Linked DNA regions of Anolis sagrei. The protein of the gene in region 1 interacts with the protein of each later gene in a pairwise test. Links are inferred from orthologs where the notes say so. Each region holds a gene or a part of one and is shown in the gene's direction. Other genes may lie near its edges.

What was found.
Region 2: the proteins of OTX1 (region 1) and SPRY1 interact in binary tests that used the Homo sapiens proteins (3 or more experiments, as listed by UniProt). The two-hybrid records come from large-scale screens. The link is inferred for Anolis sagrei from reciprocal best matches to the Homo sapiens genes OTX1 and SPRY1.
Region 3: the proteins of OTX1 (region 1) and CHIC2 interact in binary tests that used the Homo sapiens proteins (3 or more experiments, as listed by UniProt). The two-hybrid records come from large-scale screens. The link is inferred for Anolis sagrei from reciprocal best matches to the Homo sapiens genes OTX1 and CHIC2.
Region 4: the proteins of OTX1 (region 1) and TNS2 interact in binary tests that used the Homo sapiens proteins (3 or more experiments, as listed by UniProt). The two-hybrid records come from large-scale screens. The link is inferred for Anolis sagrei from reciprocal best matches to the Homo sapiens genes OTX1 and TNS2.

The regions. Positions count from the first base shown.
Region 1 is NC_090021.1:152,704,620-152,712,468, forward strand, and holds the start of OTX1 (homeobox protein OTX1), read left to right. Parts: upstream 1-4,841; 5' UTR 4,842-5,020; intron 5,021-7,146; 5' UTR 7,147-7,235; intron 7,236-7,849. UniProt on the Homo sapiens protein: Probably plays a role in the development of the brain and the sense organs. Can bind to the BCD target sequence (BTS): 5'-TCTAATCCC-3'.
Region 2 is NC_090025.1:37,237,228-37,244,534, forward strand, and holds the start of SPRY1 (protein sprouty homolog 1), read left to right. Parts: upstream 1-4,297; 5' UTR 4,298-4,474; intron 4,475-5,557; exon of another isoform or gene 5,558-5,560; 5' UTR 5,561-6,214; intron 6,215-7,307. UniProt on the Homo sapiens protein: Inhibits fibroblast growth factor (FGF)-induced retinal lens fiber differentiation, probably by inhibiting FGF-mediated phosphorylation of ERK1/2. Inhibits TGFB-induced epithelial-to-mesenchymal transition in lens epithelial cells.
Region 3 is NC_090025.1:74,480,694-74,487,569, forward strand, and holds the start of CHIC2 (cysteine-rich hydrophobic domain-containing protein 2), read left to right. Parts: upstream 1-3,873; 5' UTR 3,874-4,155; coding exon 4,156-4,274; intron 4,275-6,876.
Region 4 is NC_090022.1:183,696,413-183,703,750, forward strand, and holds the start of TNS2 (tensin-2), read left to right. Parts: upstream 1-4,299; 5' UTR 4,300-4,352; coding exon 4,353-4,454; intron 4,455-7,338. UniProt on the Homo sapiens protein: Tyrosine-protein phosphatase which regulates cell motility, proliferation and muscle-response to insulin. Phosphatase activity is mediated by binding to phosphatidylinositol-3,4,5-triphosphate (PtdIns(3,4,5)P3) via the SH2 domain.

The DNA.
Region 1 (7,849 bases):
CTCTCTCTCTCTCTTCCTCTATTAAAACTTTGGAGAGAGGATTAGCTCCTATTAATATTTATGAGCCAAAAGGACCAGATCTCCTCAAATATGGCGCTCCCTCCTTTGTGTGAGCAGAGGCAGGTGATACATAATAATAATAAAAATTAGGAAAGGCTACAAAGTATCTCTCTGGAGATAACTCCCATCTATTATTATTATTACTATTATTATTATTATCTAGACGTAGGCCGATCTGGAGATAACTCCCATCTATTATTATTATTATTATTATTATTATTATTATTATTATTATCTATATTCTGGAGATAACTATTATTATTATTATTATTATTATCTAGACGTAGGCCGATCTGGAGATAACTCCCATCTATTATTATTATTATTATTATTATTATCTATATTCTGGAGATTATTATTATTATTATTATCTAGACGTAGGCCGATCTGGAGATAACTCCCATCTATTATTATTATTATTATTATTATTATTATCTATATTCTTGAGATTATTATTATTATTATTATTATCTAGACGTAGGCCGATCTGGAGATAACTCCCATCTATTATTATTATTATTATTATTATTATTATTATTATCTAGACGTAGGCCGATCTGGAGATAACTCCCATCTATTATTATTATTAGTATTATTAGTATTATTAGTATTATTATTATCTAGACGTAGATCTGGAGATAACTCCCATCTATTATTATTATTATTATTATTATTATCTATCCTGATTCACATCCTTTGGTGGAAGGACCTGTTGGAAGGAAGCAAAACTTCTAAACAAACTTAGAAAAGGATTGTCGGGTTTTTTCCCCCCCGTCTATGTTGTAGAAGCACTCTCTCCTGACGTTTCGCCTGCATCTATGGCAAGCATCCTCAGAGGTTGTGAGACATTTGGTGACATAGCTTAATCAACCTCAGAGGTTGTGAGACCTCTGAGGTTGATTAAGCTATGTCACCAAATTCGAAAAATAAAATATGTTCCTGGTTTGAATGTGTTCTTTCCTGTTTAATCACTGGGTTGTTGTAGTCCCCCCCCCCGGGCTATATGGTCATCTTGTAGAAGCACTCTCTCCTGACGTTTCGCCTACATCTATATCAAGCATCCTCAGAGGTTGGGAGGTCTTTAGCTTCAGTTAATTTAACGATGTCACCAAATTCGAAAAAATAAAATCTGTTCCTCGTTTGAATGTGTTATTTCCTGTGTAATTGTGCAGGACTTGACTTTGAAAGTAGTTGTTCTTACACCAGAAACTTCGGGGGGGTTTTTTTGTGGCTGGCACAAACTCACAACCTCTGTGGATGCTTGCCATAGATGCAGGCGAAACGTCAGGAGAGAATGCTTCTACAAGATGACCATATAGCCCGGAGGAAAAAACGACAACAATCCAATTATTCCAGCCATGAAAGCCTTCGACAATACATTAAACTTAGAAAAGCAGCTCAAAATAACCCCGGATGGGAAAAGAAGTGAGATATCTACATTGCTGGTAGACACATATAATCCAGTTCAAGTCTGAGACAGTGTAGATCCCAGCCTGGGAAAAACATGCCAGCGCATTTTACTCATACTTTTTGCTACCTATTTCTAAGTCTCATGGGCTGATTTTGAGGTAAACAAACATTTGTTGTTGAAGGCTTTCATGGCTGGAATCACTGAGTTGCAGTGAGTTTTTCGAACTGTATGGCCATGTTCCAGAAGCATTCTCTCCTGACGTTTCGCCTGCAAGTAAGTAAGTAAGTAAGTAAGTAATAGCAGGCATCCTCGGAGGTTGTGCAGGCAAAACGTTAGGAATATCTCAACCAATTCCTACCTCACAACTTCTGAGGATGCTTGCCATAGATGCAGGCGAAAGGTCAGGATAGAATGCCTCTTTTGGAACATGGCCACACAGCCTGAAAAACCTACCACAACCTAGTGATTCTGGCCATGAAAGCCTTCGATAAGACACTAGTGGATTAAATTTGATAGATACTCTCCGAATTCAAATTCCACTACTACTTGAGACCATCAAATCACAGCTGTAGTTCTCTCAAGACTGGAAGGCAGGATTGAAGAGGCACAATTCAGAAGTGTGTTTGTAAACTAAAGGAAGGATGCCTGCTCTAGATGTGGGCGAAACGTCAGGAGAGAATGCTACTGAGAAATGCCCATATAGACCGAAAAACTCACCGCAACCTAGTAAACAAACATGCCTTCCGACCCGTTTGATTTTTGAATGAAGGACACAAACTATTGCGAACGTCCATTCTTTTCCACTTCGAGGCAGATCTCTTCCAAAATAAAAAGCGGAGGGGAAAGTTTAAGCAGGAAAAAACACTATATGTCACAACATTTCAGGGAAAAAAACATGTTCCTGTTTCGAAAGTATTATTTCTTCTTTAGTTGTGCTTCCCTTGCTTTGAAAGGAGTTGTTCAACTCCAGAAACTTCAGTTTTGCTGCCACAAACTATGTCGGAATTGAGTATGTTGTAGGTCTTTCGGTCAAAACCAACACTTGGTATTGTCGAAGGCTTTCATGGCCGGAATCACTGGGTTGTTGTAGGTTTTTCCGGGCTATATGGCCATGTTCTGGAGGCATTCTCTCCTGACTTTTCTCCTGCATCTATGGCAAGCATCCTCAGAGGTAGTGAGGTCGGAATTGGTTGAGATATTCACTGAAAAACTCGAGCGGTATGTTTTGTATTTTTATGGGGGTTTTTTTTGCAATTGAATAAAACTTTCTCCATGTCTTCAATAATAGAACCAATGAAGAAATGACATATTAACCCAGGAATTAAAAATAGTGTAATAAATCCGACTAGGAAGGAAAGGAAGAGGGAAGAGGAAAGGAAAGAAAGGAAAAAGGGTAGGAAGGAAAGGAAAAGAGGGAAGGAAAGGAAAGGAAAGAGGGAAGGAAAGGTTTGTGTGATTGATCCTTGGTATAAAGGTGTATAAAACAAATATAGAAACCAAACATTGACTGAAAACAAGTCAGTCTTTGCAACAATAACAAGGCAGGATAGACAGAATTATTTTCCTTTTGATGGAAGAGTTGTTACCCCCCCCCCCCGCAGATAAAATGTTGTTGCTGACACGATTTGTGACACTCAGAAAGCTTTTGTTGTTCTCCAAATTTTTCGTGACCAAGGATCTCTCTCTCTCTCACACACACACACACACATATATGGGGAAATCGCCTTTGTGTGTGTATGTGTGTGTGAGAGAGACAGACAGACAGACACACACACATCTATCTATCTATCTATGGGGAAATTTAATCCAGTGGTTTGTGCGTGTGTGAGACCCACACACACACACACATATATATATGGAAATTTAACCCAGTGGTTTGTGTGTGTGTGTGTGAGAGAGAGAGAGAGAGAGAGAGTGAGAGAGAGACACACACACATATATGGAAATGTAATCCAGTGGTTTGTGTGTGTGTGAGACACACACACACACACACACATATATATGGAAATTTAATCCAGTGGTTTGTGTGTGTGAGACACACACACACACACACACACACATATATGGAAATTTAATCCAGTGGTTTGTGTGTGTGTGTGAGAGACACACACACACACACACACACACATATATGGAAATTTAATCCAGTGGTGTGTGTGTGTGTGAGACACACACACACACACACACATATATGGAAATTTAATCCAGTGGTTTGTGTGTGTGAGACACACACACACACACACACACACACATATATATGGAAATTTAATCCAGTGGTTTGTGTATGTGAGAGACACACACACACACACACACACACACATATATGGAAATTTAATCCAGTGGTTTGTGTGTGTGTGACTCATGTTAATCCCACAAACGAACATTTATATATACACACACACACACACACACACATATACATACATACATACATACATACATACATACGGGGAAATCACCTTTGTGTGTGTGTGTATAAATGTTCGTTTGTGGGATTAACATAACTCAAAAACCACTGGATGAATTGACACCAAATTTGGACACAATACACCCATCAAGCCAACGAGTGACCATCACTCATAAAAACACTGCAAAACACAACAGAAGAGACTTAAAAAGGCAAAAATATGAAAAAATACATTACAACTCATGCGCAAAACCACATATACGCATATATACACATAGGAAACACGTATACACAGACTGGGCCACAGCAAAGCGTGGATGGGGACGGCTAGTATACACACACACACACACACATACACAAACAGGTGATTTCCTCGCAGAGAGAACCTGAGGATATCAAAACGGATCATCATCATCATCCTATCTGCCTTGGTCCTGTCTGCTTCGTTGTGTCTAAACGGGAAACGGGGGGTCCCGACCCCTTTTCTGAGCTCCGTGTTGAGGCTCTGACACGGATTTGTGAGTGTTTACAATGTGGAAGATGCTTCCATAAAGAGGAGGAACCCGCCTCTCTCTCTCCTGCTTTCTGATCAGTCCATGTTTGGTTCCTACTCTTGTTTCACACGCTTCTCTCCTTGGAGAGCTCCTCAGAAAAGTTTTCTTGGAATCAGAAGCCTTGCCCGCCCTACCCTCCGTCCTCTTTCTTTCTCAGGATAGATAGAAGCGGGACCCCGACCTTGGCGCGCATGGATGTCCTCTGGGGGCCCCAACCCGGCTCTGCCCCGCTCTACCTGCCCCGAGGGCGCCGCCGGGGAGCGTGGGCGGGGCGCGGGGCGTGGCCTGGGGGAGGGAGCCCCGTCCCGCGCCGCCATTGGCCCCGGCGGCTGTCGCTCGGCGCTCCCGCGCCCGCCCATTGGCGCCGTCCCGGGTCCCGCCTCCGCCCGGCGCTCACATACCCGGGGAGGGCCCGGGAAAGGTGATCAATCTTCGCCGGGCGACATTTCCTATCAGCTAAACAGCTGGGCGGGCGAAGGGAGGCTGCGGCTTGGAGGGAATCTGAAGAACGAGCGAGGTGTTTCCGTGGGAAGAGAGAGAGGCAGCGCGGGGCCGGTCGGGGCGCCCCCCTCCCTCTCGCGCGGACAGGTGAGGCGCCCCCCTCCCTCCCCGCCCCCCTCTGCCCCCTCCCTCCCCTTCCCCCCTCCCTCACTCCCCCCCTCCCCTCCCCCTTTGGAGGAGTCCGAGCCTCTCCTGGGAAGGAAGTCCGGGCAAGGGGAAGAGGAAGGGAGCAGCGGCGTCGGGCGGAGCGGCGGACACGGAGGAGGCCAACTTTTCCCTCCCTCCGTTGCTGGAGGTGCGGCTCCCAGAGAGACCTCTCTCTCTCCGTCTTTCAATCTCCCTGCCCCAGCTACCCCCCCCCTCCTCCTTCTATAGAAACTTTCCTGAAACTTTCTCTCTCTGGTCGGGTCCGGAGGGGGGAAAGGCGCGCGGAAGGGCGCGCGCGAGGGGGAGTCCGGGCGGAAGGAAGGAAGGAAAGAAAGAGGGAAAGAAAGAGGGAAGGAAGGGAAAGGAAGGAAAGGAAAGAGGAAAGGAAGGAAAAGAAAAAGGAAAGGAAGAGGAAAGAAAAGAGGGAAGGGAATGAAAGGAAAGGAAGCGGTAAGGAAAGAAAGAGGGAAGAAAGGAAAAGGATAGGAAGGAAAGAGGGAAGGAAGGAAAGGAAGAGGAAAGGGAGGGAAGGAAGGAAGGAAGGACGGGGTCCCAGGAGGTTCGAGCCCTCTTCCCTCCCACGCGCGCGCTCGCTCTCTCTTAGCTTTGCGGCCCTGCTGGAAGCACAGCGCGAGGCCGGAACGGAAGGAAGGAAGGAAAGTAGAAAGGAAGAAAAGGAGGAGGGAAAGAAGGAAAGAGCCAAGGGGAGGAGGAAGGAAGAAAAGAAGGGAAGGAAGGAAAAAGCGAAGGGAAGAAGGAAGGAAGGAAAGTAGGAAAGAACAAAAGTAAGAAGGAAGGAAAGTAGGAAGGAAGAAAAGGAATGAAAGAGCGAAGTGAAGAAGGGAAGGAAAGTAGGAAGGAAGAAAAGGAGAGAAGGTAGGAAAGAGTGAAGGGAAGAAGGAAGGGAAGGAAGGAAGAAAAGGAGGGATGGTAGGAAAGAGTGAAGGGAAGAAGGAAGGGAAGTAGGAAGGAAGAAAAGGAGGGAAGGTAGGAAAGTGTGAAGGGAAGTAGGAAGGAAGGAAAGTAGGAAAGAAGAAAAGTAAGAAGGAAAGAAAGTAGGAAGGAAGAAAAGGAGGGAAGGAAGGAAAAGCGAAGGGAAGAAGGAAGGAAGGAACGTAGGAAGGAAGGAAAGTAGGAAGAAAGGTAAGAAGGAAGGAAGAAAAGGAAGGAAGGAAAGAGCGAAGTGAAGGAGGGAGGAAGGAACGTAGGAAAGAAGAAAAGTAAGAAGGAAAGAAATTAGGAAGGAAGGAAAGTAAGAAGGAAAGAAAGTAGGAAGGAAGAAAAGGAAGGAAGGTAGGAAAGAGCGAAGGGAAGAAGGAAGGAAGGGAAGTAGGAAGAAAGGTAAGACGGAAGGAAAGTAGGAAGGAAGAAAAGGAAAAGGGAAGGAAGGAAAGAGCGAAGGGAAGGAGGAAAGAAGGCTGCTGTGAGTTCATAGCCATACAACCTGAAAAACTCAAAGCAACCCAGTGATTCCAGCCACGACAACACGAGGAAGGAAGGCCTTGCTTCCGGGAAAGTGCTCCTGACCTATCTTACCACATATTACCCACATTGTGCGTGGTACGGGTCAGCATTGAGCATATTATTGCACTTCCAAGCGGGGCGCGGGGTGGAAGAGGGCGGATCGGGGCCATTTCCCCAGTCACATCCCTCCTTCCTTCCTTCCTTCTGGGGAAAGAGAGAGGCGGCAACAGGTCTACTTTCTTGTCCCCTCGCCTCCTTGAAACCCCACTTTTCCTACTCTTTGGGGTTCCATCTCGGCTGCCTGTCTCAATAAATCCCATTCTTAGAAAGCCTCCACCCGCATCATCGGACCTTTCCATTCCTGCAGAAGGCTAGTTCGAAAGCGCCTTGAGTATTCTGTGTGGATGCGGCCTTTGTCCCCTCTTTCCGCAGTTTCTGGGGATGTTGGCGTCGTTTCAGGCACGACTTTCCCTTCCTAGTCAAGGATTATTTTTCCCCCGTGTCAGGAGCGACTTGATAGGGTTTGTAATACAATATAATGCGATCCGTGTCCTTCTTCTTGTGTCCCCCCCCCCCTTCCTCCCTTTCTTCCCTCTTTCCAGGAAAAGCCAATGCCGTCGCTTCTTCGCAGCCCTTAAGGAGCCTGGATGCGCCTTTTCCTTTCGCCGCACTAAAACCCGCAGCGACACGAGTGAGTTTCCTAATAATCGCCCCAAAACTGGACCCAAACTTCCTCCTCCTTCGTCGGGATCTCTGTGGATTTCAAAGGACCCCGTTTTGTTTTTAAGCCACTCGCGGTTTCTAATTGCCCTTCTGTCCCCCTTTTTCAATTAATTACTCTCTCTCTCTCTCCTCTCTCTCTCTCTTTCTTTCTTTTTGGAATCTCGTTTTGATTTCTAATCCAATTATCTTTTTAAAATAATGGCCCTATCTCCCTCCCTCAGCAGCCCGCATTGTCCCTCCGAGAAACCCCTCGGCGATTGTATGGGAAGCATCACCAGGGCTTTACAGGGAGGAAGAATCACCCCATGCCTTAACCCCCCCTTCCTTCCTTGACTCCCTTCTTAACACTTCTAGTTTCCCTAGAAAGCCGCCATGTTGGTTGTGTGGATGTGTGTTTTTCCAAAACTGCGCGAGGACAAGACTTTGGGAAATTATGAGATCGGTTTGACGCCTTCAAAAGGAGTTTGCTTCTGCTTTTTCCTTTGAGAAAAATCAAAACAGTTGAAGGAAGGCTCAGTCTATACAGAGACGGATCTAATGCGCTTCAAGCGGCCTTCTTTGAGAGACGGGACCCAACACTTT
Region 2 (7,307 bases), on another chromosome or scaffold:
GGGAAGTTTGGCCCAATTCTATCATTGGTGGAGTTCACAATGCTCTTTGATCATAGGTGAACTATAAATTCCAGCACCTACAACTCCCAAATGTCAAGGTCTATTTTCCCCAAACTCCACCAATGTTCACATATATTGAGTATCCGTGCCAAGCTTGGTCCAGATCCATCATTGTTTGAGTCCACAGTTCTCCCTGGATGTAGGTGAACTACAACTCCAGAACTCAAGGTCAATGCCCACCAAATCCTTCCAGTATTTTCTGTTGGTCAGGGGGAGTTCCAAGTACCAAGTATGGCCCAATTCTATCATTGCTGGGGTTCAGAATGCATTTTGATTGTAAGTGAATCATAAATCCCAGCAACTACAACTCCCAAATGTCAAGGCCTATTTTCCCCAAACTTCACCAATGTTCACATTAGGGCATATTTAGTATTCCTGTCAAGTTTAGTCCAGATCCATCATTGTTTGAGTCCACAGTATTTTCTGTTGGTCATGGGAGTTCCATGTGCCAAGTTTGGTTCAATTCCATCGTTGGTGGAGTTCAGAATGCTTTTGATTGTAGGTGAACTATAAATCCTAGCAACTACAACTGACAAAATCAATCCCCCCCCCCAACCCCACCAGTATTCAAATTTGAGCGTTTCGGGTATTTGTGCCAAATTTGGTCCAGTGAATAAAAATACATCCTGCATATCAGATATTTACATTACGATTCATAACAGTAGCAAAGTATACAGTTATGAAGTAGCAACAAAAATAATTTTATTGTTGGGGGTCACCACAACATGAGGAATTATATTAAGGGGTCGCGGTATTAGGAAGGTAGAGAAACGTTGCACTAAAGACTTCTGAATACATTTAGGACTCAGAGGATCAGACTACACATTACTACGGATAAGTAACATCCCATCTGGACTACTACAATGCATTGCATGTGGTTTTGCTTTTCAAATGAATGCCCCAGAAGCTCCAGTTGATTCAGAATAAGACGGCAAGATTATTGGCTGGACACTGCAACCATATGATGCCTTTATTTTGTCAGCTGCAGTGGCTCACATTTTGGGCTCCAGTTGAAAGTGCTGGCAATCCCTTGAACAGATCGGGATCAGGTTATCTGGAAAACCGATTTCCACCACATTTACCTATCTTAATATTTAGGAATCTCTTCAAAGGCTCTCTCCTCTATGTGGGTTGGATATGAAAAGAGGCAGGTGAGAATTAGGCAAAGGGTTTTCACACTTACGGCACTTTGGCTGTGGAATAGTTTTTCTAAGGATTGTGTGGGTGTAAAATCAGTTTTCCAGATAACCTGATCCTAGGATGCATCTATGCTGGAAAATTAATGTAGTTTGACCCCACTTTCACTGCATTGGCTCAATGCTAGGGAATCCTAGGAAATGTAATTTGATTTTGTGTGTGTGCATCAGGAGAGACTTGAGAAACTGCAAGTCACTTCTGGTGTGAGAGAATTGGCTGCCTGCAGAGACGTTGCGCAGGGGACTCTCTCATGTCCCTGCATGAGAAGGTGGAGCTGACAGATGGGAGCTCACCCCACTCTCCAGATCTGAACTGCCGACCTTTCGGTCAGCTGTCCTGCTGACACAGGGGTTAAACCAATTGCACCGTCAATCTAAACCCATTGATTAGGCACCAGTACTATTTGGCAGTACTATTTGGCAGTCCTTTTAAAACCACAAATCTCTAGAAAAACTAATATGCATTGTTGGATACACTTCCCGTTACAGCCCAACACCGATAGTACATCTACATTGTAGAATTAATGCAGTTTGGCACCACTTTAACTTCCCTCTCTGTGTGAAATGGATTAATGGAGTTGCAGTTCTGCAAAGGTGCTTAGCCACCTCTACCAAAGAGTGCTGGTACCTCGTCAAACTATAACTCCCGGGTCCCATAACATTGAGCCATGGCAGTTAAAGTGGTGTCAAACTGCATTCATGCACTTTGAAAGTGGAGAAATATCCATCCTTCGACGACACAATATCCATCCTCTTTTTCAGTGCTCATTGTCCTCTCAGGGAAGGCATCAGAGTCCTCAAGGTGTCATGTGTCACTCTTGGATAGGCACTTTAAAGCTTTCAGTGTCTAAATAATCGAAACAAGGAATACACCAGGTTGCTGTGAGTTTTCCAGGCTATATGGCCATGTTCCAGAAGCATCCTCTCCTGATGTTTCACTCACATCTATGGCAAGCATCTTCAGAGGTTGTGAGGTCTGTTGGAAACTCAGCAAGAGTGGTTTATATATCTATGGAGTGTCCAGGGTGGGAGAAATAACTCTTGTCCATTTGAGACAAGTGTGAAAGAACAAACCTGGACACAACATATTACTTGAAAACACAGAAATGCTGGACCACTCTAAAAACCACCATGCCAGACTACACAGAGAAGCCATTGAAATTCATAAGCATGTGGACATTTTCAACAGCCTTCTCTTCTTCAGGCTAAACATGCCCAGCTCTTTAAGCCGCTCCTAATAGGGCTTGTTCTCCAGACCCTTCATCTTTTTAGTCGCCCTCCTCTGGACACATTCCAACTTGTCAATATCTCTCTTCAATTGTGGTGCCCAGAATTGGACACAATATGGTGCGATGAAGAAATCCTGATATTGTGTCCAATTCTTCTTCTTCTTCCTCTTCTTCTTCTTCTTCTTCTCTTCTTCTTCTCTCCTTCCCTTCCTCCTCCTCCTGATGAGATGAAGAAATACTAATATTGTGTCCAATTCTTCTTCTTCTTCTTCTTCTTCTTCTCTTCTCTTCCTCCTCCTTCTTCTGGTGAGATTAAGAAATCCTGATATTGTGTCCAATACTACTTCTTCTCCTTCTCCTCCTTTTCTTCTTCTCTCCTCCTCCTCCTCTTTCTACTGGTGAGATGAAAAAATCCTGATATTGTGCCCAATAATTCTTCCCCTTCCTCTTCTCTTCTTCTTCTCACCTCCTCCTGATTCTTCTGGTGAGATGAAGAAATCCTGATATTGTGTCCTCTTCTTCTCCTCCTTCTCTTCTTCTCTTCTCCTCCTCCTTCTGGTGAGATGAAGAAATCTTGATATTGTGTCCAATTCTTCTTCTTCTTCTCCTTCTACTTCTTCCCTCCTCCTCCTCTTCTTCCTCCTCCTCCTCCTCCTCCTCCTCCTTCTCTTCCTCCTCCTCCTCCTCCTCCTCCTCCTCCTCTTCTTCTTCTCTCCTCCTCCTCCTCCTTCTTCTGGTGAGATGAAGAAATCCTGATATTGTACCCAATAATTCTTCTCCTTCCTCTTCTCTTTTTCTTGTCACCTCCTCCTCCTTCTTCTGGTGAGATGAAGAAATCCTGATATTGTGTCCTCTTCTTCTCCTTCTCTTCTTATCTTCTCCTCCTTCTTCTGGTGAGATGAAGAAATCCTGATATTGTGTCCAATTCTTTTCCTTCTTCTCCTCCTCTTCTTCTCTCCTCATCCTCCTCCTTCTTCTGGTGAGATGAAGAAATCCTGATATTATGTCCAATTCTTCTTCTTCTCCTCCTCCTCCTCCTCCTCCTCCTCTTCTCCTCCTCCTCCTTCTGGTGAGATGAAGACATCCTGATATTGTGTCCACTACTACTACTACTACTACTACTACTACTACTACTACTCTCCTTCTCTTTTTCTCTCCTCCTCCTCCTCCTCCTTCTAGTGAGATGAAGAAATCCTGATATTGTGCCAAATAATTCTTCTCCTTCTCCTTCTCCTTCCTCTTCTCTTCTTCTTGTCACCTCCTCCTCCTTCTCCTGGTGAGATGAAGAAATCCTGATATTGTGTCCTCTTCTTCTTCTCCTCCTTCTCTTCACCTCCTCCTTCTTCTGGTGAGATGAAGAAATCTTGATATTGTGTCCAGTTCTTCTTTTCTTCTTCTTCTTCTTCTTCCTCTTCTTCTTCTCCTCCTCCTTCTCTCCTCCTCCTCCTTCTCTTCTGGTGAGATGAAGAAATCCTGATATTGTGTCCTCTTCTTCTCCTTCTCCTTCTCTTCTTATCTCCTCCTCCTCCTTCTTCTTGTGAGATGAAGAAATCTTGATATTGTGTCCAATTCTTTTCCTTCTTCTCCTTCTACTTCTCTCCTCCTCCTCCTCCTTCTCCTTCTTCTCTGGTGCGATGAAGAAATCCTGATGAATGGTAAGCAAACCTTGGCATGAATGAGCGCGAGGAAGCGCGCGCTTCTTGTGTGCACTGGAAGGAGGCGGGCAAGGGAGAGTCCAGGCCGGGTTTTCCGGGCCGCCCTCCTGAGTGACAGATTGACATCATTGGGGGCGGGACCAAGGGGGCGAAAGGGGGGCTCGGCGCTGAAAGGTTCCCGTGCCGAGTTGAGCTCATTCTGAACAGAGCCACGCAAAAGGACAGCGCCGCTCGCAAGGCTTGATCGCCGCCACCGGACCTGCCCTCGGTGCCTCTCCGCCTTGGATTTAGCTTGCTGTGGATGCGCCTCGGGGAGGAAACACCTTTGCAATCGGTAATCCGCTCGGGGAAGGAGCTCAGGTGCTGCCCGAGCCCAGGCTGCCGAGCCCCAAAGCCTTGCAGCGTGCAGCCAAGGCGGAGCCTTTCCCGAAAGAGACTCCACGCAGCAGCAGCAGCAGCAGGAGCAGCAGCCTTATTGTTCGGATTGGGGGGCGCTTGGCGGGGACCTTCACCTTTCTGCAGTCTCCAAGCCTAGGTCTAAACAAAGCCTAAGAGGTTGGGAGGGTTGCTTTAGGGAACCCACCCAGTACAGGGCTCAAGATTGGGAGCTTCTGGCTTGAATGCTTCCAGGAGAGGGTCTTAAGAAGTCTCAAAATTGGGGAGGTCCAAAGAAGTCTCAATGTTTCCTTGGGGAAACCCAGAAATGAGGCTAAACTTGGGGAACTTCTTGCTCAACCTTCCCTACTACAAGGCTCTAAAGTAGGTGTGTGCAAACTTGGGCCTTCCAGGTGTGTTGGACTCCAACTCCTACCATTCCTAACAGCCTCAGGCTTAAGCGGCTGAGGGGGAAAAGGAAAGGGCCTGAGGCTGTTAGGAATGGTGGGAGTTGGAGTCCAACACACCTGGAAGGCCCAAGTTTGCTCATATGTGCTCGAACTGGGACCTTTCTTTGCCCCCACTGCTCTAACTGGGACCTCCCCCTCCCCAAGTGATATGTCTGTGCTATCTCTCTGTTTCTGCCTTGCTCAGAGTTTGCACCGTCTGGGTTTCCCCCCTTTTCCAGAACAGATATCCAAAATCAAAATGGGTGCCTGTCCAAAATCCCCATTGGGTGCCTATCCAAAATCCCCATTGGGTGCCCATCCAAAATCCCCATTGGGTGCCCATCCAAAATCCCCATTGGGTGCCCATCCAAAATCCCCATTGGGTGCCTATCCAAAATCCCCATTGGGTGCCCATCCAAAATCCCCAATGGGTGCCACAAGGCTGTCAAGCAAGCCGTCCCCCTCTCCAAAGCACATGGCAGCTTTGCCACAAAGTCATTGGATATATATTTTTTGTATGGAAGGGTGACTTCTACCTGTCCATTGCTCTCTTTACTGATCTCTTTCTTCTCCCTCCCCCCTTCAACTTCCAGCAGGCATCGCTTGGGCACTTTGTCTGGCTCCAGCTCGAAGGGACCATGCGGTGAAGCAAGAAAAAGGAGCTTGGAAAGTCGAGGAAGCGAGGCGCCCCACGCGCCTTGGAAGGAAAGCAAAAAAGAAGGAAGGGAAGTGCAGAAAGAGAGAGAGAGAAAGGAGACCAAGAGAGAAAGGAGACCAAGCAGCTTTCCACAAGAAGCCCCCCTTTTCCTTCCTCCCCTGGCTGTTGTTTACAGTCTCCCATTGGTGTGGATGCCGGAGGAGTTTGAGCCAGAGAGCACTTTGCAAGCTCAATCCAGCTCTCCTTTTGCTTTTCCACCTGGTAGCCAAAGAAGGCTTCCTTTTTCACCCCCTTGGATCTGAAGCGCATGGACGCCGCCTCTCTTCTTGAACAAGGGAGGGCTAGAGGCAACTCAATCGCCTTCTTTCCTTGAATGTTTGCCCTTGGGAAAGAGAGGGCTTTTGGGGCGCAACAGGATTGCTTTCTGCTCCAGAAGAAGAAGACGCCCTTGGCAACCCAGCAGCAAGGATTGGCAAAGGGAATCTTCTCTCAATGAGCCCTGCGGCATTTTAAGGCAAGGCCGACCTCTCCGGCTGGCTCCCCATGGATCTAACTTAGGGGTTGCTTTCACACGGAGTTGCCATTGCGAAAAGTAAGTGAGCCTCAGCAGAGCTTGCAAGATGGACTCTAGGGGCCTGGCTTGGCACCTATGAGCGAACAGGTGCCCTTAGGCAGCTTCTTTGGCTTTAGGGGCTTCCCGGGGATGACTTTGGGTTTCCGACCGAGTCTGGGGCCTCTTCCACACAGCTGAATAAAATCACACATTATCTGCTTTGAACTGCTTTATAATAAGAATAATAAGAATAACTACTACTACTACTACTACTACTACTACTACTGTATTTTTATACCCTGCCTCCATCTCCTTGAAGGAACCTGGGGTGGGTTACATAGGGCCAAGCCCAGATAACAGAGTTAAAACATAGCACATTAGAGTGCATCAACAGCAATTTAAAACAATACAAAATATAAAACAAGCGTCGAAACGCACAGCAATAACATAGTCAAGAATATATGGCAGTGTGGACTCCGATTACCCAGTTCAAAGCAGATATTGTGGGATTTTCTGTCTTGATATTCTGGGATATAGGGCTCTGTGGAAAGGTCCTGGGTGCATCTTGTCTTGGGTGCACCTTGTAGAATTTATGCAGTATAGTTTGGCACCACTTGAACTGCCTTGTCTCAGTGTAGACACACTCTTGGTTGCTTGACTGCTTCAGAGAGGCACTTTCTCCCAAGGCTGCCATTCCTGCTTTGAGCCCTCTCCTTGGGTGTAGCTACACTGTAGAATGAATGCACTTTGACACCACTTAAACTGCCTAATTCTTCTAATATTTGATAGTTTTAGTATATTCCAGAATTGGAAGTTTTGTTTCTATACTTTTTTGTGTATTTTCTTATTTGTTAACACTGTGGCATCCTGTGAGTTGTAGTTTTACAAGACAAAGAGGATGCGAGCATCACCAAACTACAGCTCTCCGGATTCCATAGCTTTGGGGCATGGCAGTTAAAAGTACATCTGTTCAACAGTGTAGATGCACCCTTGCTTGCTTTGACTCAGTGGAAGGCTGGGGATTTGGAGAGGGGTTTGGAGTACCTTTCCCGCCATGTGCTTCAGCAAATTGCTGCAATTATGCTTTGATTCCTCTTCCCGAGTGCATCTACACCAGGCATGGGCAAACTTC
Region 3 (6,876 bases), on another chromosome or scaffold:
GTGGTCCGCAAGAATGAAAATATGGTTGCAGCCTCACCATTACACCGTTGTCTCAAAACCACGCGGTAATGAGAGCAGCTGGTCTCACAAAACCCTCTTATAGTGCCGATGCAACGGGGATGTTGGGAGAGGAGAAGCTGACTACCCACGAAAGATTACTACTACTACATCAGCTCTAGATTATGAAATATGGTTTTCTGTGAGCAAGCACATGGAGACTACTGAATGGCATATGTTCTGTATCAGAAACTAATTGATCTGCACTTCAGGTAGTGAAGTCAATTAAACTGTTTTTAATAGATATGTAAACTAGGATTCTTCATAAAAGTTAGAGACAGTAAGAACAGAGGTAAACAGCTTTACCAGTAGATTGTCTCCATCAAGGAAGTCACAGCCTTGAATTCGCAGGGTCCTGAGCAGAGTTACTGATCACAGAATGTCTTGTGGGTCTCTTATTCTTAGGGTTTCCATTGATGTAGATATTTGTTATCCTGTGCCTTCAAGACTTCTCATGGTGTTTTCCTGGCAAGATTTATTCAGACAGTGTGATTTGCCCAAGTGAGTTTCCATAGTTGAGAAGGCATTTGAATTCTGATCTCCCAGAATCCTAGCCCAGCATTCAAACCATCATGTTGACTTTTGGTTAAGGCAATTTGATGGCAATAAAGATCAACAATGTAAACTGTAGCGAATTGTTACTCTATATGAAATTTTAGTACATAGATCTATGTTCGCAGGGGGCAGATAAGGAAGATTAGAGACAAGAGAGGATAGCAACAGAGGGACCGGATTTATTTGCATATGGAGGCTGATTGGTCATATGCAGATTAGCATAGCCCCAGGATTTCAAAAGGTTGGGAGACAAAATGACAGTTGGGAAGAGCAGGGCCGAACATTCTAAAGGGGCGGAGTTAAGTTCAAAAAGGAGGGGAGTTAGAGAGAGAGTTTTAAAAAGAGAGTTAGTTGAGTAGGGATTGCAGTTTGAGAAGGACAGAGAGTTAGGGATTCCTGTTCATGAATGGTAGTTAATAAATCCTGTTAGAAAAGTAAGCCGCTAGTCAAATAGAGTACAAGTTTTGAGAACTTAAAGAAAAGCCAGTGGTGCTTGAATCGGAAAGTAATTTTAGTCCTGTATGTGTAAAGCAAATACCATCTTGATAAATGAGAAACATTGAAAGCCTATTTCAGGAAAGTGCAACAAGTATACTATATGTGACTGAAACTTAAGTTTGCAACAAAAATAGTAATTGTAACTACAAACATTGGAGCCTGAAGTGTTTGAATAAACTTGTTACTTTGTTTCATACAAGAGAGACTCAAGCCTGTGATTTCCAAGCCAAGAGGCTTCTGCTTTATAACACTCATAGCAATTCAGATATTAAAGATTTGACCGAGGACTGCATATAGGTGCATGCTTCTTTACACCAATTGGTGTCCTCCCTCCCTGGTGTTACATAAACCAAGAGTGTAGGGGTGTTTTATGCTACAACTGACTGTATTTGTAACTTTATATTTTTAAATTATGATGTGTGTTATTTTGTTTGTAAAGACTGGGATGAATTGGGAGTCATATAATATGACAGAAACATGTGTACATGTTTTGGCTCAACCTTCTAGGCTACACTCCATTTGGACAACTCAACAATACATTATACTTTCAAGAAGGCCTCAATGAGACCAGCAAGCTTCACTTCCCATCACCATAATTTATTTACATAGTGTCAACACTGCACATGTGTTACAAGAAAAACAACAACGAAACCAGTTCTTGCCCTCAGGCTTACAATCTAATTGAGACATGACACAAAAGGAAATGATGACAGCAATGTGGGAGGGGATTAAGTCTCATAGCTTCACTCTACCCGCAGCCAAGGGAGGGTTTTTGATCTACTTCTGGGCCTAGGCATGATAGAATTGTGCCTGCTTCATTTCTCTATCCTTGAACAGGACAGTTCCAATTTGTTGTGTTTCTAGACTCAGCCACTATGAAGTTCTCCAGTCAGGGCAGTGGCAGCTGGGATGGATGGAGGTCCTTCATTTACTTCTTGGTTCAGGAATTATAAAGTTCTGCTTTCTCCTCCTTCCAGAGTCAGGGCAATGGCAGTTGGGATGTGTTTACAGGCTCAGCCACTATGAAGTTCTCCACAGTCAGGGCAGTGGCAGCTGGGATGGATTGAGGTCCTTCATTTGCTTCTGGGCTCAGGCATTATGAAGTTCTGCCTTTATTCCCTCCACAGTCAGGGCAATGGCAGTTGGGATGTGTTTACAGGCTCAGCCACTATGAAGTTCTCCACAGTCAGGGCATTGGCAGCTTGGATGGATGGAGGCCCTTCATTTGCTTCTGGGCTCAAGCATTGTGAAGTTCTGCCTGTATTTTCCTCGTCAGGGCAATGGCAGTTGGGATGTGTTTCTGGACTCAACCACTATGAAGTTCTCCAGTCAGGGCAGTGGCAGCTGGGATGAAAAGAGGCCCTTCATTTGCTTCTGGGTTCCGGCATTATGAAGTTCTGCCTGTAACTCCCTCCACAGTCAGGGCATTGGGAGTTGGGATGTGCTCATAGAATCATAAGACTTGGAAGAGACCTCATGGGCCATCCAGTCCAACCCCCTGTCAAGAAGCAAGAAAATTGCATTCAAAGCATCCCTGACAGATGGCCATCCAGCCTGTTTAAAAGCTTCCAAAGAAGGAGCCTCCACCACACTCCGGGGCAGAGAGTTCCACTGCTGAACGGCTCTCACAGTCACGAAGTTCTTCCTAATATTAAGATGGAATCTCCTTTCTTGTAGTTTGAAGCCATTGCTCCGCGTCCTAGTCTCCAGGGAAGCAGAAAACAAGTTTGCTCCCTCCTCCCTATGACTTCCTCTCACATATTTATACATTTATTTTTATGTTGTGTCAGGAGCGACTTGAGAAACTGCAAGTTCTCTTCTGGTGTGAGAGAATTGGCCGTCTGCAAGGACGTTGCCCAGGGGACGCCTGGATGGTTTGATGTTTTTATCATCCTTGTGGGAGGCTTCTCTCATGTCCCCGCATGAGGAGCTGGAGCTGATAGTGGGAGCTCATCCGCCTCTCCCCGGATTTGAACCTGCGACCTGTCGGTCTTCAGTCCAGCCGGCACAGGGGTTTAACCCACTGCGCCACCGGGGGCTCCTATATTTATACATCATGTCTCCTCTCAGCCATATCTTCTTCAGGCTAAACATGCCCAGCTCTTTAAGCCGCTCCTCATAGGGCTTGTTCTCCAGACCCTAAAGAAAGATACTTAGTCCATATCTATACTTATCAGAAAAGAGGCTCCAGAACTGTTCTTATGCAACATCAGAAGCACCCCTTCACAGGGCATGTTGGGCCAGGGGCACATTGAAGCTGCTGCTATTGCCACCACCAGCAATTATGTCTATCATGGCTCCTCTCAGCCTTCAATTCTGAAGACTAAACATGCCCAGCTCTTTAAGCCGCTCCTCATGGTGCTTGTTCTCCAGACTCTTGATCATTTTAGTCGCCCTCCTCTGCTTGTCAATATCTCTTCAATTGTGGTGCCCAGAATGGGGCTCAATATTCCAGGTGTGGTCTAAAGCTCTGCCTGCCTCTTCACATTTTCCTCCCAGAGTTGAAAGAGGCCACAAGGGCCTCCACAGTCAGGGAGTAATAAAGGAAGGCCTTTTGTCTCTAGGCTTAGAGAGGCCTGTAGGGAATCAGGCTGCTTCCTGTCCAAGCCATCCATCCACCCCACTGTCCCTTGACCTCGCCGGATTCTGACTTTTCCGGCCGCGAGGGGCGCATGCGCGGGCCAGCCGTGCGCTCGCGACGAGGGGAAGGGGGCGGGGCCTGGCGCCGAAAGCCGCGCGCTGAGTGGCTGCGGGGCGCGCGCAGGCGAGCGAGCGGATGTTGTGGCGGTTGTTGTTGTTCCTGCGGCCCGCCCCCCTCCGCGGGATCAGGACGGGCGCTTCCTGCCGGCCGCGCTGAGGGCGAGGAGGAGGAGGAGGAGGAGGACTGCGGAGGCTTCTTCTCCGGCCGAAGGAGCGGGAAGGCAGAGAGCAGCGGCGGCGGCGCCTGGCTGGGTCTTCCCGCTCTCTCTCTCTCTCTCGCTGGCGGAGGCTTCAGGGCCTGCCTTCCGGCCCCGCGCGGCTCCTCGGCCGGGCCCCGTCGTGGCCATGGCGGACTTCGACGAGATTTACGAGGAAGAGGAAGACGAGGAGCGGGCCTTGGAGGAGCAGCTGCTGAAGCACTCGCCGGACCCGGTGGTGGTGCGCGGCTCCGGCCATGTCACTGTGTAAGGAAGGGAGGGAGGAAGGGGAGGGAGGGAGGGAGAGGAGAGGAGGCCTGGTCCCGACCATCTTGGCCCACGACGAGGGAGGCCTCTGACCTTCAGCCTAGTTCCCCTTTCGGAAAATGTAGGCTAGGGGTGCATCTACACAATGGAATGAATGCAGTTCAGTACCACTTTTAATTGCCATGTCTCAGAGCCAGGGAAGGCTGTGTTTCGGTGAGGCCCCAGCAGTCAAGGCTTAGGGCCCTTCCACACAGCCCTATATCCCAGAATATTTGCTTTGAACTGGATTTATATGGCAGTATGGACTCATAACCCAGGGCCCTTCCACACAGTCCTGTATCCCAGAATACCAAGGCAGAAAATCCCACATTATCTGCTTTGAACTGGATTTATATGTCAGTATGGACTCAACCCAGGGCCCATCCACACAGTCCTATTACCCACAATATCAAGGCAGAAAATCCCACAATATCTGCTTTGAACTGGATTTATATGGCAGTATGGACTCATAACCCCGGACCCGTCTACACAGTCCTATTACCCATAATATCAAGGCAGAAAATCCCACATTATGTGTGTCAAACTGGATTTATATGGCAGTATGGACTCATAACCCAGGGCCCTTCCATACAGTCCTGTATGTCAGAATATCAAGGCAGAAAATCCCACATTATCTGCTCTGAACTGGATTTATATGGCAGTAGGGACTCATAACCCAGGGCCCTTCCACACAGGCCTATATCCCAGAATATCAAGGGAGAAAATCCCACGTTATCTGCTTTGAACTGGATTTATATTGCAGTATGGACTCATAACCCGGGGACATTCCACACAGTCCCATTACCCACAATATCAAGGCAGAAAATCCCACAATATCTGCTTTGAACTGGATTTATATGGCAGTGTGGACTCGTAACCCCGGGCCCATCCACACAGTCCTATTACCCACAATATCAAGGCAGAAAATCCCACAATATCTGCTTTGAACTGGATTTATATGGCAGTATGGACTCATAACCCAGGACCCTTCTACACAGTCCTATTACCCATAATATCAAGGCAGAAAATCCCACATTATGTGTGTCAAACTGGATTTATATGGCAGTATGGACTCATAACCCAGGGCCCTTCCATACAGTCCTGTATGTCAGAATATCAAGGCAGAAAATCCCACATTATCTGCTCTGAACTGGATTTATATGGCAGTAGGGACTCATAACCCAGGGCCCTTCCACACAGGCCTATATCCCAGAATATCAAGGGAGAAAATCCCACGTTATCTGCTTTGAACTGGATTTATATTGCAGTATGGACTCATAACCCGGGGACATTCCACACAGTCCTATTACCCACAATATCAAGGCAGAAAATCCCACAATATCTGCTTTGAACTGGATTTATATGGCAGTATGGACTCATAACCCAGGGCCCTTCCATACAGTCCTGTATGTCAGAATATCAAGGCAGAAAATCCCACATTATCTGCTTTGAACTGGATTTATATGGCAGTGTGGACTCGTAACCCAGGGCCCTTCCACACAGCCCTATATCCCAGAATATCAAGGCAGAAAACCCCACATTATCTGCTTTGAACTGGATTTACATGGCAATATGGACTCGTAACCTAGGGCCCTTCCACACAGCCCTATATCCCAGAATATCAAGGCAGAAAACCCCACATTATCTGTTTTGAACTGGATTTACATGGCAATATGGACTCATAACCTAGGGCCCTTCCACACAATCCTATATCCCAGAATATGAAGGCAGAAAATCCCACATTGTCTTAGTGTGGACTCAGATAACCCAGTTCAAAGCAGATATTGTGGGATTTTCTGCCTTGATATTCTGGGATATAGGGCTGTGTGGAAGGGCCCTTGAAACTACTGTTCCCATGAATCCATAGTGTTGAACCATGGCAGTTAAACTGCATTTATTTATTTCTATCCCATCCTTCTCCCTACAAGGGGACTCAGGGCGGCCTTAATAATAATAATAATAAAATAAACTTTATTTATACCCCGCCACCATCTCCCCAAGGGAATCAGAGCGGCTTACATGAGGCCAAGCCCAACAACACATCAATAGAAACAAAAGCAATAAACAAAAACAATAAATACAATACAATTAATATAAATCACATATAAACAATAACCAATAAACAGTAAACACAAGGATTTTAAACCTATGGCCGGGCCAAATATAATAGTTTAAAATTTTAAAAAATAAACGCTGGGCATGAACAAGGTAGGATATATCTGGTATAGGATTTTAAAAGAGATGAGGGAGCGCAGTCAATCCTAAACCAGTAGTAAAGTGCATTCTGAGGACATATTGCTGTGAAATTTTCCTTATTCTGGGAAGGCACACTGGAACAGCCACGTTTTCAAGCTCCTCCTAAAGACTGTCAATGTTGGGGCAAGCCTGATATCCTTGGGAAGTGAGTTCCAGAGTGGGGGGCCACCACCGAGAAGATCCTCACATTAGCATCAAGTGATGCAATCCAGATATATACCAATGAAATTACAATTAACACAATAAAATCCATTTAAGACATTATCCAGATTCAACAGTCAATTCATTAACAGTAAATTAGCGTCTC
Region 4 (7,338 bases), on another chromosome or scaffold:
ACACAACAACACACTCACAAAACGGCAAAACAACAAAACTCAAAAATCCCCCAACGAAACGTAACTAAAATCCCCGTGCCCATAACATAACCCACAAGAAACAAACATATCTACTCAAAATGAAAAACAACACAGCAACACACTCACAAAACGGCAAAACAACAAAACTCAAAAATCCCCCAACGAAACTTAACCAAAATCCCCGTACCCATAACGCAACCCACAAGGTACAAACATATCGACTCAAAATGAAAAACAACACAACAACACACTCACAAAACGGCAAAACAACAAACTCAAAAATCCCCCAACGAAACTTAACCAAAATCTCCATGCCCATAACACAACCCACAAGGTACAAACATACCTACTAAAAATGAAAAACAACACAACAACACACTCACAAAACGGCAAAACAACAAAACTCAAAAATCCCCCAACGAAACTTAACTAAAATCCCCGTGCCCATAACATAACCCACAAGGTACAAACATATCTACTCAAAATGAAAAACAACACAGCAACACACTCACAAAACGGCAAAACAACAAAACTCAAAAATCCCCCAACGAAACTTAACCAAAATCCCCGTGCCCATAACACAACCCACAAGGTACAAACATTAGGCCTGTTTGATCAAGAAAAAATTTGTTTCTAAATTCGATTCTTAATTGGGGTGTTTTTTTGTTTCGATATTAAAAATATTTACAAAACTTACCAAAAAAATGTTTTGTTATTTACGAATTTTCGTTATTATTTACAAAACATTTTAGAAAAAAATTTTTTCTTGATCAAACAGGCTAAGTGTGAATGTTGCAGTAATGGTCACCAATGGCTTTCTCCCACCCTGGACATTCCATAGTATTAGAGATGATATATAACTCACCATTTGCCTAGTTTCCAACAGACCTCTGAGGATGCCTGCCATAGATGTGGGCAAAATGTCAGGAGAGAATGCTTCTGGAACATGGTCATATACAGCCCTGAAAAGTCACACAAGCCGGATGGCGCGCGGAGGCCGCTTGTGAGCGCGCGCGCGCCATCCAATGGGCTCCGGCTCCTGCGCCCCCCCTCCTCCTCCTCCCAGCTGGCGCGCGCGCGCTCACAAGCGGCCTCCGCGCGCCATCCGGCTCCGGTTCCTGCGCCCCCCCTCCTCCTCCTCCTGGGAGGAGGAGGAGGAGGGGGGGGCGCAGGAACCGGAGCCGGATGGCGCGCGGAGGCTGCTTGGATGGCGCGCGCGCTCACAAGCGGCCTCCGCGCGCCATCCGGCTCCGGTTCCTGCGCCCCCCCTCCTCCTCCTCCTCCTGGGAGGAGGAGGAGGAGGAGGGGGGGCGCAGGAACCGGAGCCGGATGGCGCGCGGAGGCCGCTTGTAAGCGCGCGCGCCATCCAAGCGGCCTCCGGCTTCTGCGCCCCCCTCCTCCTCCTCCTCCTCCTCCTCCCAGCTGCACTTCCTGCAACACAGCTGGGAGAAGGAGGAGGAGGAGGAGGGGGCGCAGGAGCCGGAGGCCGCTTGGATGGCGCGCGCGCGCTCACAAGCGGCCTCCGCGCGCCATCCGGCTTCTGCCACGGTGCACTGCTGGGGTGCTTGGGAGCGCCGGATTGGCTCCCAGGCTCCAGCACTGCAGCACCACTCAGCAGCAGCCTCCATGCCATTAACGACACGAGCTGAAGCTCGTAAAATACATGGGGCTGCTGCTTCGATATTTTTAAACCCTTCCGGGTTTAAAAATATGTTTTGATATCGCGTCGGATATTAAAAAAATAACGATTAAAAAACGAAAAACGAATTAACGAAACAAAACCGACAGGCCTAACAAACATATCTACTCAAAATGAAAAACAACACAACAACACACTCACAAAACAGCAAAACAATAAAACTCAAAAATCCCCCAACGAAACTTAACTAAAATCCCCGTGCCCATAACACAACCCACAAGGTACAAACATATCTACTCAAAATGAAAAACAACACAGCAACACACTCACAAAACGGCAAAAGAACAAAACTCAAAAAAACCCCAACGAAACTTAACCAAAATTCCCATGCCCATAACACAACCCACAAGGTACAAACATATCTACTCAAAATGAAAAACAACACAACACAACACACTCACAAAACGGCAAAACAACTGAGCATGCGCATTGGCGCCCAGCCGCAAGTTCCACTGCGCGCGCACATGGCCTTCCGGCCAACGTTCCCTCTGCGGAAACCATGCCCACTCCAAGCCCCACCGCGCCGCTTCCCGCACACACACACACCCTGCCGCACACACACACGCAACCCCACGCTCCATCACTCCCCCCGCCGCCGCACACACACACGCAACCCCACGCTCCATCACTCCCCTGCCCCAATCTTACCTCCTTTTACTTCAGGCCACCTCCAAACCCCACCCCGCCCCTTCCCGCCCTGTCAAAATCTAGGAAAGACAGGAAGGAAGGAAAGAAGGAAGAAAGAGAAAGGGAGGTAAAGAAAAAGGGGGAAGGAAGGAAAGTTAGAGGAAGAAGAAAAGGAAAGAAAAGGAAAGATGGAAGGAAAGAAAAGAGAGACAGCAGAAGAGAAAGAAAAAGGGGGAAGGAAGGAAAGAGATAGAGAAAGAAGAGGAGAAGGAAAGATGGGAAGGAAGGAGGGAGGGAGGGAGGGAGGGAGGGAAAGAAGGAGAGAAAGAGGGAAGATTGGCCACAGCAACACGTGGCGGGTAAAGGTTGCTATTTCTATTATTATTATTATGCTATTGTTCCTCTGAGACCCTTTTAGGGGGAATGGGAGAGGTGTCAGGTCCCGGAGGCAATGCATTGCATTATTGTTATTGTTATGATGGTGGTGAAATAAAAGGAAATAAAAAGTGAAAGAAGGAAGCAAACAGGGAGGGAAGAAAGGCAAAGGAAGAAAGGGGGAGGGAATGAAGGAAAGAGAGAAGGATGAAACCAAGTAGTGAAAGAAGGAAAGAAAGAAAGAGGGAGAGAAGGAAGAAAGTAGAGAAAGGGGGAGGAAAAGGGGGAAGGAATAGGTAGGTACCTCTCTTTCATAATAGTCCAGATATCTACCTCAACTTTGATAAGTTTTACTATAGGCCACAGCAACGCGTGGCAGGGCACAGCTAGTTATTTATATAGATAGATGGAGCCAATGCCTATGAAAGGGGTGGCTCTTAAATAATCTTGCTGTATTGCCGAAGACTAGGTTGTTGCAGGTTTTTCGGGCTGTATGGCCATGTTCTATAACAGTGGTTCTCAACCTGGGGTCCCCAGATGTTTTTGTCCTACATCTCCCAGAAATCCCAGCCAGTTTACCAGCTGTTAGGATTTCTGGGAGTTGAAGGCCAAAAACATCTGGGGACCCAAGGTTGAGAACCACTGTTCTAGAAGCATTCTCTCCTGACGTTTCGCCTGCATCAATGGCAGGCATCCTCTTGCTGTGTCCAAAGGGGATTTCTCCCAGATAAGTATGGACCCTTTCAGACAGGCCCTATATCCCAGGATCTGATCGCAGGTTTTCTCTTTATCCCAGATTATCTAGCCGTGTGGACTCATATAATCCAGTTTAAAGTAGAATTAGATCCTGGGATATAGGGCCTATCTGGAAGGGCCCTGTGTCTAGGCATATACCTTTGAAAACCCAGAAGTTGCCGAGCCAATGTATATAAGATTTAACATAAATGTTTATCCAGCCCATCACGCGCGCACACATCTATATACACATTCCTGCTTAGGAAGCAAAAACCAAGCTCTTTTCCTCCTCCCTCTCTTGAGATGGGCCCCGAATCCGCTGACCCAGAGCACCAAAAACTGGAAGGAAACAGGATACAGATCTGGCTGAATGGTACACATGTCTCTTTGTTACTCCCAAGCTGCTCTGGAGGGATTTTCCAGTGGTAATATGTTTCCAATTATCCTGTTACGCTCTTTGGAGTCTATGCATTCTGACAAGGCGTCCTTTCCGTTTCCAACAATATGTCATCTCGCCCTGCTTTCCCTTCATTCCATGTTCTTCCCCCCAAAGGTGATGACCTTCATCCCCATGTTACATGCACGCTTACACATAGAGTCCGGCTAATTTACCTACATCCCAAGAGCTTGGCTTTTGCCACCTGTTTACAGGCCTGGTTTTATAAGCTCGCACGCGGCTTCATCTGGCAGGGCTGAGTTTGCTCTGGCACTGAGCTAAATATTATTAAGGCGCTCTGTGTGTATGTGTGTGTGTGTGTGTGAGTGATGAAGGGGGGGGTGGGACAGGGAGGAGGAGTTTGCAAAGCAAGGCAGTTCCAAAGATTCTGAGAAGGGGGAGAAAATTTGCCCACAACTTTGCCGGAGAAAGGAGTTGGGACTCGGAGAAGGGGATCGTATGGGCTGGACAGGAGGGCCTGATTGTTGGGGGACCGACTGCTGCTCTGCACCCCAGGCAAAAGGGGGCCCAAGAGGCACTGCCAGAATGCAGCTGACCAAGGTGTGTGGCTAAAACCCTGCTCTTTTTCTCCTTGCTTGGTTCTTCTTTACACAGGGCAGCATGGAATTACTGGCTGCGTCATTGGATGGAAATCATTCAGCCCGAGGCGCTGGCTGTTTGTGGCACAGGATGGCAAGGGGTGTATGTGCGTGTGCGTACAAAGAGAGTTGCTGGCTAGGAGCAGAGGGAGAATTCATAACCTCCCAACTTTCTGCACATTGATGAAAGTCAGAGCAGGTGTGTAAGCTGTGTCAACGGAAACCTAGTTCAGTTTTGAATCTTTGCCTGCTTTACATTAGTATTCTTTATCTACTTTGTGGCAGCCTCCTCTCGCAGTCTGTTAGTAAACGGTCTCTAAGAGTCTTTAGTACAATGCTTGATGGATATGACCAATCTTCTGACAACATAGCAGCAACTCAAGGCTAGTATACTGATGTTACTGGCAGTGATGGTGGGTTTTTTGTCGTTTTTCCTTTGTCGTGTCAGGAGCGGCTTGAGAAACTGCAAGTCGCTTCTGGTGTGAGAGAATTGGCCGTCTGCAAGGCTGTTGTCCAGGGGACGCCCGAGTGATTTGATGTTTTTATCATCCTTGTGGGAGGCTTCTCTCATGTCCCTGCATGGGGAGCTGGAGCAGATAGAGGGAGCTCATCCTCCTTTCCCCGGATTCGAACCTGTGACTTGTTGGTCTTCAGTCCTGCCGGCACAGGGGTTTAATCCACTGCGCCGCCAGGGGCTCCTAGTGATGGTGGGTGGGAGCAAAGGAAACAACACAATGAATTAATGTGAGCAAGTTGCTTAGATGTACCACTGTCAGGATGCATTCCCTGCTACTCGGACTGTAACTTTTATTTATTTATTTTATTTATTTACCTCTGAGGATGCTTGCCATAGATGCAGGCGAAACGTCAGGAGAAATGCCTCTAGAACATGGCCCTATAGCCCGAAAAAAACCCACAAGAACCTTTTATTTATTTATATGAAACTGGGTTTTTGTTGGGTTTTTTTCGGGCTATATGGACATGTTCAAGAGGCATTCTCTCCTGACGTTTCGCCTGCATCTATGGCAAGCATCCTCAGAGGCAATCTTTGAGGATGCTTGCCATAGATGCAGGCGAAACGTCAGGAGAGAATGCCTCTTGAACATGGCCATATAGCCCAAAAAAACCTACAAAAACCCAGTGATTCCAGCCATGAAAGCTTTCGACAATATGTTTATTTGAAACATTTATATTCCACCCTCCTCACCCCACAGGGGACTCAAGGCAGAGCACAACATATATACGGCAAACATTCAATGCCGGGACATACTTAGGTGATCCCTCGTAGTCCGAGGATGATGGTCCTCCAAGTGTAGTATCCTGGCAGTGGGTCTATAGGTGACTGTGGAGCCCTATTCTTGATCTGCACCTTCTCCCACAGTGAGGGCATCCAGGTGGAAGGCGGTCCCGGTCAGGGTTGGCTTGATACTATTTCACCAGAAGACATACAACTTTGAAGGCCTAGGAGATCAAAGCCATGCAGTCATTCCTTCCCACCAGGCACTGATGGGCTTCAGGAGTACACTGTGGTGCCATCTAGCTTTCTTTGCACTCCTGTAGCACATGTGTTGTGCAAGGAGGTATTGAATACCTCTGTGCATTACCCTCTGAAAGTGTGTGCATTACCCTCTGAAAGTGTGTGCACTTGGTTGAGCCACCAAGAAGATTCTATGTTTTGGAAGTGACTTTCCCAAGCTCTGAGGTTCTGTTTGTGAGAGTTGCTATTGTTGGCACTTTTCAAGTTTCTTTCAATCCCGTGGGGCTGCTGTATATTTGTTTTGTTAATACTTCTTGGCTATGATGCACATTTGTATGAATGCATGCACATGGGTTTTTAACTGTCAGTATACTATGTTGTTGTTGAGTGCCTTCAAGTCATTTTTGACTTACAGTGACCCTAAGGCAAACTTACCATGGGGTTTTCTGGGAATGAAAACATAAGTTGCCTAAGGCCACTTAATAGTTTGTCATAGCTGAGCAGGGGTTTGAACCCTGGGGTATTGTGTTGGTTTCTGAGCTGTATTACCATGTTCTAGGAACATGTCGGCTAGAAACCACACAACACCCCAGTGATTCCAGCCGTGAAGGCCTTCAACAATACATTGATTTGAATCCTGTTTTCCAGAGTTGGAATTCAGCACTCAAACTACTACACCATTCTGGTCCAGTACTGCTTTTCTACATAGCTTAGAATAGGCTTATTAAGACAGTAAAAGAGAAAAATCCTCTTATCTGAAACTATTGTGTAAGTGCAACTGGATCTACTGTAAGATTGAGCATTCTATTAAATATGCTTAACATCCATTTAAAAAGTAAAATAGTGACGGTTCATAAATAAGCACATCTTGTTTAAGAAGCCAGATCTGATAGAAGCCATCCTATTTTCCTAATGATTAGTTGGTTCTCAGTTTCCTCTTCATGTGCATGATTGCCAAAAAGGCAGATTTGCTTGGAAAAGTTTGGAAAGGTTACTTTTCTAGACTGTAACTCCCAGAAAACATGTGCTAGCACACCCAGCGGTTCTCCTCTGTTGAACACAACAGGGCTTATTTTTTGTGCCAAAGATTGCACAATAAATAAATGGTTGTTGGTATGTGCCTTCAAACTCTTTCTAACTTATGGTGACCCTAAAGTGAACCTATCATGGGTTGTTGTTATTTGTTTTGGCAAGTTTTTCAGAGGAGGTTTGCCATTGTCCTTCTCAGAGGCTGAGCAAAAAGTGTGTAACCTGGTGAGCTTCCATGGCTGAGTGAGGGTTCAAACTCCCAGAATCCTAACCCAACCCCCACCTACACTGCTCTGGCTCTCCATAAATAAATGTTAAGTTCTAACCTTTTAAAATTAAA